2 linked regions of the Lonchura striata genome follow. Each later gene encodes a partner of the first gene's protein in a complex. Links are inferred from orthologs where the notes say so. Each region holds a gene or a part of one and is shown on either strand. Other genes may lie near its edges. The genes, in order: GAPDH and RPL13A.

The links.
Region 2: GAPDH (region 1) and RPL13A share a complex: the UniProt entries of both Homo sapiens proteins name them as parts of the GAIT complex. The link is inferred for Lonchura striata from reciprocal best matches to the Homo sapiens genes GAPDH and RPL13A.

The regions. Positions count from the first base shown.
Region 1 is NC_134604.1:29,417,123-29,421,022, forward strand, and holds the start of GAPDH (glyceraldehyde-3-phosphate dehydrogenase), read left to right. Parts: upstream 1-961; 5' UTR 962-1,051; intron 1,052-1,520; 5' UTR 1,521-1,541; coding exon 1,542-1,564; intron 1,565-2,135; coding exon 2,136-2,235; intron 2,236-2,368; coding exon 2,369-2,475; intron 2,476-2,560; coding exon 2,561-2,651; intron 2,652-2,822; coding exon 2,823-2,938; intron 2,939-3,052; coding exon 3,053-3,134; intron 3,135-3,271; coding exon 3,272-3,423; intron 3,424-3,524; coding exon 3,525-3,603; intron 3,604-3,830; coding exon 3,831-3,900. UniProt on the Homo sapiens protein: Has both glyceraldehyde-3-phosphate dehydrogenase and nitrosylase activities, thereby playing a role in glycolysis and nuclear functions, respectively.
Region 2 is NC_134640.1:2,921,853-2,925,752, reverse strand, and holds the start of RPL13A (large ribosomal subunit protein uL13), read left to right. Parts: upstream 1-1,170; 5' UTR 1,171-1,219; coding exon 1,220-1,234; intron 1,235-1,445; coding exon 1,446-1,518; intron 1,519-1,586; exon of another isoform or gene 1,587-1,665; intron 1,666-1,736; coding exon 1,737-1,802; intron 1,803-2,223; coding exon 2,224-2,325; intron 2,326-2,554; coding exon 2,555-2,640; intron 2,641-2,890; exon of another isoform or gene 2,891-2,961; intron 2,962-3,051; coding exon 3,052-3,111; intron 3,112-3,650; coding exon 3,651-3,773; intron 3,774-3,900. Other genes in the region: SLC17A7 (vesicular glutamate transporter 1), read left to right, coding at 376-645. UniProt on the Homo sapiens protein: Associated with ribosomes but is not required for canonical ribosome function and has extra-ribosomal functions.

The sequences.
Region 1 (3,900 bases):
GGCCTGCTGGGGCAGCGCCCGGCCAGGGGCCCCGTCCAGAGCGCGCCTGGATAAGCCCACCCGGGGAAGGTCGCAGCCTGGAGGCGGGAGAACTCCCAGACTGTACCTCCCGTGCCGGGGGGAGTGGGGGACAGCCTGGAGATCCGCCGCTCCCTCGGGATGACCCGAGCATCCCTGCAGTCCCTTTACCCGTGCAGCCATAGAATCATGGAGTGTTAAGGGGTTGGAAGGGACCTTAAAGATTATCCAGTTCCAACCCCCGTGCCACGTGCACGGACGCCTCCCACTAGAGCAGGTTGCTGAAGGCCTTACCCAGCCTGGCTTGGAACAGTGCCATGGTTGGGGCATCTACAGCCTCCCTGGGCAACGTGTTACAGTACCTCATCACACTCACAGTAAAGAACTTCTTCGTAATATCCATCCTAAATTTCATCCCTTTCAATTTGTACCCATTACTCCTTTTCCCAACACTAAAGCTGCTGACGAAGAGTCCCTCTCCGGCTTCCCTGTAGGTCCCTTCGGATACTGGATACTACTCCATCCAATTGGGCACAGGCTGCAGCCGGGGCGGGTGGCTACCTGCCCTTTGTTACCAGGTGAAAGCAGCGCACACCATCCTGCGGAGCAGCAGCGGGCCCGGCGGGAGCAGCCCCTGACCGGCTATCGCCCTCTCTGCCTCCTCGGGCAGGGGTGCAGCCACCCATCCCCGCTCTGGGGACACCTCCGACCAAGGACCGGTGCATCTTTCACCACCGCCACCTGCACCACCAACCCCCTTGGGGTGGCCCGACGGGAGGGTGATCGCTACGGACCCTACATTCCCAGAGCGGGGCCTTTGTTAACGGGGGGCGGCGGGGCGGGGGAAACAGGGGGAGTCTTCGGCAGCCGCACCCGCGGCACGGGCGCACGTAGCCCAGTCCGGCCCCCGCGCTGCCATTCGACGGCGTCGCGGCGGGGCGGGCCCTCGCCCTACCCTCACGCGGCTATAAAGGGCGGCGGAGAGGCGCTGCGCCACCTCCTCACTGCGCGCCGGGCGGCTCGGAGGCAGCAGGTAACGGGCGGGGCGGCGGAGATGCGCGGGGGGAGAGAGCGGTGGCGGCGGGCGTGTGGGAGCCCCCTCCCCACACGGGCGCCCCGCCCGCCGGCGGGGGGTGCGGCAGCCCCCGGGCGGAGCGGGGCCGCGTGGCGGCGGGGCCCAGGGCACAAAGGCGGCGCGGCGCAAAATGGCGGGGGCGGCGTGAAGGGGGGCGGTGAGGCGAGGAGGGATAGGGGTGTGAGGGGGAGATGGTCGCCGCAGGAGGAGGAGGGGGCGGGTAGTTGTCGCGGGGGGGGCAGGTGGGTTAGTCGCCCGCGGCGGGGGGTGGGGCTAGCTCGGCGCGCGAGCCCCCGCTCGCCTCGCGGCCCCCGATGCCCGCTCGCCCCTCAGCGAGGGCGAGGCGTTAACGGCACCGGCTGAGGGCGCGACTCCGAGGGCGGCTGGTGCCGGCTCTTACGCCCCCGCTGCTGGTTTCTGCCCACAGGAACATCCCGAAGCGGTAAAGATGGTGAAAGTCGGAGTCAATGGGTAAGTGCTGCGGCCGACAGGACCAGCGGGGATTTCGAGGGGGGTTGTGGTGGAGCGGCAAGGTCGCCTCAAGGGCGCGGGGGGAAGATTCGGGGAGAGGCTGGATCCCGCCGGCCCCGCTCGGCCGGCGCCCCCCGGGGCAGCGAGCGGTGCTGCTGACTCATTTCTCCTCGGGTTCGGGGTGACTCACTCCGGAACGGGCTGCCGTTGCTCGGCTGCCCCAGTTTCCCTCCCCGTTCCCGGGGATCCCTGCAGCCCCCCACCGAAAGGTTTCTCAGTGGATCGTGTGTCGATGGCGGCCCCGGGGATGTGACCTTCTCGTGCCGGGCCGAGGAGTAACCGGATCCCCGGGGCTCTCTGTAAATTTAGCGATTGACCTTTCTGGGGCGGGGGTCGTTCTTAATCTTTAACCGGGGTGCCTTGGCCTTTGGACGAGCTGCAGGGCTCCCTCCCGCCCTGCCGGGCAGGGAGCAGCTGATGATCCCAAGGGAAGGCTGCCAAGGACTGCCTCCCATGCCCAGCTGGGCTGGTTCTCTGTTGCACCTCCTCACCCGTGTCTTTCTCTCTCCAGATTTGGCCGCATCGGCCGCCTGGTCACCCGGGCTGCCGTCCTCTCTGGCAAAGTCCAGGTGGTGGCCATCAACGATCCCTTCATTGATCTGAACTACATGGTGAGTTGCTTTGCAGTGCCCCCTCTGGGCCTTTCTGAGTAGGGCTCCTGTGGATCTGTTCTCGTAGCTTCCCCGGGTGTTAGAAGATGATGGCAGCCTGGGTGCCTGACCTTCTGCTCCTCCTATTTATTAGGTTTACATGTTCAAGTATGATTCTACTCATGGCCACTTCCGGGGCACTGTCAAGGCTGAGAATGGGAAACTTGTCATCAATGGGAATGCTATCACCATCTTCCAGGAGTAAGTATCTCTTTCTTGATTGCTCCTCTGGAGATTGAAAGCAACTGTGTCATGGAACAGCTTGTAAAATTTTGTCCCTCCTTAGGCGTGACCCCAGCAACATCAAGTGGGCAGATGCTGGTGCTGAATATGTTGTGGAGTCTACTGGTGTCTTCACCACCATGGAGAAGGCCGGGGTGAGTATGCCACAGAGGTGTAGGAGAGAAGGGAATAGTGCTGCTTTCTGCCTGTCGGGCACACCACCATTTACAGAGCTGCTCAAGATAGGGCTGTGAAGGAGAAGAGATCTGAAGAAGCAAGCTTGGAAGGATCCTGAGTTATGTAATCTCTTATCTTTCTCTCTCCAGGCTCACCTGAAGGGTGGTGCCAAGCGTGTGATCATCTCTGCCCCCTCTGCTGATGCTCCCATGTTCGTGATGGGTGTCAACCATGAGAAGTATGACAAATCTCTGAAAATTGTCAGGTAAGGAGAGTAGCATGCTTCCTGGCCTGGAGCTCTCGCCAGCTGCCAGGGGTCTCACTTCACCTCCGTAGGAGTGTTGCCTCTGGCTGACGTGCCTTTATCTCTCTATCCCAGCAATGCTTCCTGCACTACTAACTGTCTGGCGCCCTTGGCCAAGGTCATCCATGACAACTTCGGCATTGTGGAGGGTCTCATGGTAGGTCTGCAGCTTGGTGCTGAAGAGGGTGACCTACCACAGATCCCCTCACGTGAGAGGGAAAAGCGTCTGTGTCACCTGGGATGCTCTTTCTGGAGAGTATTGGCTGTGTTCTTAATCCTATGCTCTTTCCTCAGACCACTGTCCATGCCATCACAGCCACACAGAAGACAGTGGATGGGCCCTCTGGGAAACTCTGGAGGGATGGCAGAGGTGCTGCTCAGAACATTATCCCAGCATCTACTGGAGCTGCTAAGGCTGTGGGAAAAGTCATTCCTGAGCTCAATGGGTGAGTGTTGTCCCTTCTCAGGTGTCAGGAGGAGGCAGAACATTCCTAGACTGGCAGAGGAGTGCCAGATGCTGTTCCTTAGTGACTTGTGTCTCTCACAGGAAACTTACTGGAATGGCTTTCCGTGTGCCAACCCCTAACGTCTCTGTTGTGGACCTGACCTGCCGTCTGGAAAAACCAGTAAGTGTTGTGGACGGGGTCCTAACAGCTTGCAGATGTGCCCCTCTTCCTCTAAGCTCTGCATTGCACCTGGAATTGCCCTCTCTGCATCCATCTTGTCCTGAAGATAATCTTTGTGAAAAGAGCACCTGCTGGGGTGTTCCCATGTGTGTCTTCTCCCTTCCCTGTCCCCAATGGACATTTTGTGTGAGTTGGAATCTGATCATCTTGGATCTGTGTCTCCTCAGGCCAAGTACGATGACATCAAGAGGGTAGTGAAGGCTGCTGCTGATGGGCCCCTGAAGGGCATCCTGGCAT
Region 2 (3,900 bases), on another chromosome or scaffold:
ATGGGGACAGAGGGACACAGAGGGACATGGGGGGGACGGAGGGACATGGGGGGACAGAGGGACACCGGGGGATGGAGGGACGTGGGGGGACAATGGGACAGGGGGGAGACAGATGGACATGGAGGACAGAGGGACATGGTCCGAGGCACACAGGGGACAATGGCACCTGGGGGGACACCACGGGACCGGAGGGGACCTCGGAATTTTGGGGGTCGCTCCGGCCGCCTGTCACTCACTGTGTGCTCGGCCCCGCCCACTCGCCTTGGCCCCGCCCTTCCCTTGGCCGCGCCTCTTTCCCGCGCTCCGCACTGGCCACGCCCCCTCCCCATTCGTGTCCCCGCCCTGCTGTGACGCGTCGGGCGCTGATTGGCGCAGACGCGCGAGGAGTGGCAGTGGGTGTTCCTGATCGCTGCGCTCGTGCACTACGGGGGCGTGGCCTTCTACGGCGCCTTCGCCTCGGGGGAGCCGCAGCCGTGGGCGGAGCCGCCGCGCGAGGAGGCGGAGCCGCTGGCGCCGGCCGGCGAGGACGACGAGGAGGAGGAGGAGGAGGAAGGAGGAGTGGGACCCCCGGGACCCCCGGGAGGGCCCCCCGCCAGCTACGGCGCCACCGGCACCACCCCGGCTCCCGGGACCCCGCACGAGTGACGCGGGGCGCCCGCAGGGATGCGCTCCGAAGAGGCGACCCCACCCCCCTTCCATCCCCGAGAGCCCCGGGATCCAACGGGGACCCCCGGTCCGAGCCCCCCGAGAGCCCTGAGACCCCCGGGAGCCACCGGGGAACCCCGGTCCGAGTCCCTGAGAGCCCCGAGAACCCCAGGAGCGACCGGGGACCCCCGGTGCGAGAGCCCCGAGAGCCGGGGCCCCTCCGCTGTACATATATAAATACAAGGAGCGACCGCTGGAGAGCCTGGAGTGCTGTACTGGGGACACTGGGAGGGATTCGGATGGTTACTGGGGGCACTGGGAGGGACTGCAGGTACTGGGCGGGGAACTGGGGCAGCACTGGGAGGCCGGGGAGCGGGTCCTGCGCGTACTGGGAGCACCGGGAGGGACTGGGGGCACCGGGGGCGTTCCCGCCCCACTTCCGCCCTCAGTGGCGCATCCCGGCGCGGCTTCGCGCCCTCTTCGCGTCGTGGCGTCACTTCCGCCCGCCGCTGTCCCCGACGGAAGCGGCGACCCCGCGTGGGGGGCGGGGCCTCTTTGCGAGCGGGCGGCGGCCATGGCGGAGCCGCGGGTGCGGCGCGGCGGCACGGGGGCGGCACGGGGCGGGAGGGGCGCCCGGCCGGGCTCCGCGGGGCTCTGGGATGGGGCCGGGCGCTGCGGGGGGCTGCGGGGAGCGGCGGGCGGGCGGCGGGGGGAGCGCGGGGCGCGGCCACGTGGCGGCCCCGCGGTGCGGCCCGGCCCCGGTGGCGGCGGGGCCTCACCCGGTGCCGCCCGCGCCGCAGGTTCTGGTGATCGACGGGCGCGGGCACCTCCTGGGCCGGCTGGCGGCGATCGTGGCCAAGCAGGTGCTGCTGGGTGAGTGCGGGAGCCTTTCCCGGGGCACACCGGGGGAATCCCGGGACAATCCCGGGGCACCGGGCCCCCCGCGCCGTGATGAGCGCTGTCGGCTGTCGAGTTTAACGACAATGAGAGCTGCCTCCATGCACTACCAGCTGAGCGCGGGGGCACCGGGGGATACTGGGGGTACCGGGGGCACCGGGCTGGGCTGACCGGGCCCGCCGCGCTCTCCGCAGGCCGCCGCGTGGTCGTGGTTCGCTGCGAGGGCATCAACATCTCTGGGAACTTCTACCGCAACAAGCGTGAGTGGCCCGGGGGTCCCGGGTTCGGGAGAAATCCCGGGTTCGGGAGAAATCCCGGGAATGGAAGGAGATCCCGGATTTTGAGGGCAGTGCCAGGTTTTGGGGACAGTCCCGGGTTTTGGGGACAATCCCGGGTTTTGGGGACAATCCCGGGTTTTAGGGTCGGTCCCGCCGTTCCTGAGTCACGCAGAAGTTTCCAGAAGGTTCTCGGTGCACCCCCAGCCCCCATTTTGGGGGATTTTCGCATTCCCCAAATCCCATTTAGGGAATTCACTCTGTTTGCCCACCCCAGTGAAGTTTTTGGGGGGATTTCCCCCTGTTTCCCCATCCTGGCACTCCCCAGTTCCCAAAGTGCCATTTCGGAGGGATTTTGTCCCGTTTTCTGCCGTTCCTGAGGGATTTTGCCCCGTTTTCCCCGCAGTGAAGTTCCTGGCATTCCTGAGGAAGAGGATGAACACCAACCCCTCGCGGGGCCCTTTCCACTTCCGAGCTCCCAGTCGGATCTTCTGGCGCACGGTCCGAGGTGAAAACTCCGCTTTTTTTCTGATTTTATTTCCTTTTTCCCTGATTCTCCTTTTTTTTTCCCGTTTTTTTTCTTTTTCTCTGACTCTCTTTTTTTTTTTTTTTGGTTTTTTCCTCTTTTTTTCCTTTTTCTCTGATTATCCCAAAATCAGCCCTGGGAATTGCCCTAATCCCAGTGCTTTCACCCCAAATCCAAGGATGCTAAATCTGTGTTTTCACCCCAAATTCAGGGATGCTGCCCCACAAAACCAAGCGGGGCCAGGCGGCCCTGGAGCGGCTCAAGGTGTTCGATGGTATCCCCCCGCCCTACGACAAGGTGGGAAAACCCCAAACCCCCAAATCTTACCCAAAATTCTCCCTCCAAAACCCCCCGAATTGCCACTCCAGAAATCCCCAAGTCATTCCCAAATTCCCTCTCTGGAGCCCTCCAAATTTCCACTGCCAAAACCCTGAAATCTTCCCCAAAATTCCCTCTCTAAAATCCCCCAAATGTCCTTCAAATTCCCCCTCCAGAACTCCCCAAATTTCCCCCCCAAATCTCCCTAAAATCCCCCCAAAATGAGCCGTGGTGTCAGTGATGTCATTTTTACCTACATTGTTCGATTTCTGCTGAGAAAAAAACAAATCTGAGACACCTGGAGCCCCGCCCACCCCTGGGACCTGCCCAATAAAACCCCAAAAACCTTAAAAAAACCCCCAAAAATCCCGAAATTCCTGGGTTTTCCAGAGGAAGCGGATGGTGGTGCCGGCTGCCCTCAAAATCATCCGCCTCAAACCCACGCGCAAGGTGGGTGCGGGAGGGGGTTTGGGGGGTTTTTAGGAGTTTTTGGGATTTTGGGAGTTTTATGGGATTGTTGTGTGGATTTTACAGCGTTTTAGGCAGTTTTATGAGGGTTTTTTAATGGATTTTTTTAGGAGTCTATGGGATTTTAGGGAGCTTTATATGGTTTTTTAGGGGTTGTATGGGATTTTAATGGGGGTAGTGGGATTTTTGGGGGGTTTCATGAGGGTTTTTAAGAAGTTTAAGGGATTTTAGGGGGTTTTCTGGGACTTTTTTAGGGGGTTTATGGGATTTTAAGGGTTTTATGGGATTTCGGTGGAGAATTAGGGAGATTTGGGTGAGTTTTGTGGTATTTTGGGCAGTTCTGGGTGGTTTTATGGGATTGGGCCAGGTTTTATGGGATTTGGGTGGTTTTATGGGGTTTTGGTGGGGTTTTATGGGATTTGGGCTGGTTTTATGGGGTTTTGGTGGGGTTTTATAGGATTGGGGGTGGTTTTATGGGATTTGGGGGGGTTTTGGGGTTCTGAGCCCCCCGTGCCTCCCAGTTTGCCGTTCTGGGCCGGCTGGCACACGAGGTGGGCTGGAAGTACCGGGACGTGACCGAGGCCCTGGAGGAGAAGCGGAAGGAGAAGGCCAAGCTCCGCTACAACAAGAAGAGGAAGATGATGGTGAGGAAAACGGGGAAAACGCCCCAAAATCCCTCGGGAGGACACCCAAATCGGGGGGAGGGTCCAGAGCCAGGCAGGGAGAACCCCCCAGGATTTGGGATTGGGATTTCAAAATGCTGGCAGGGGT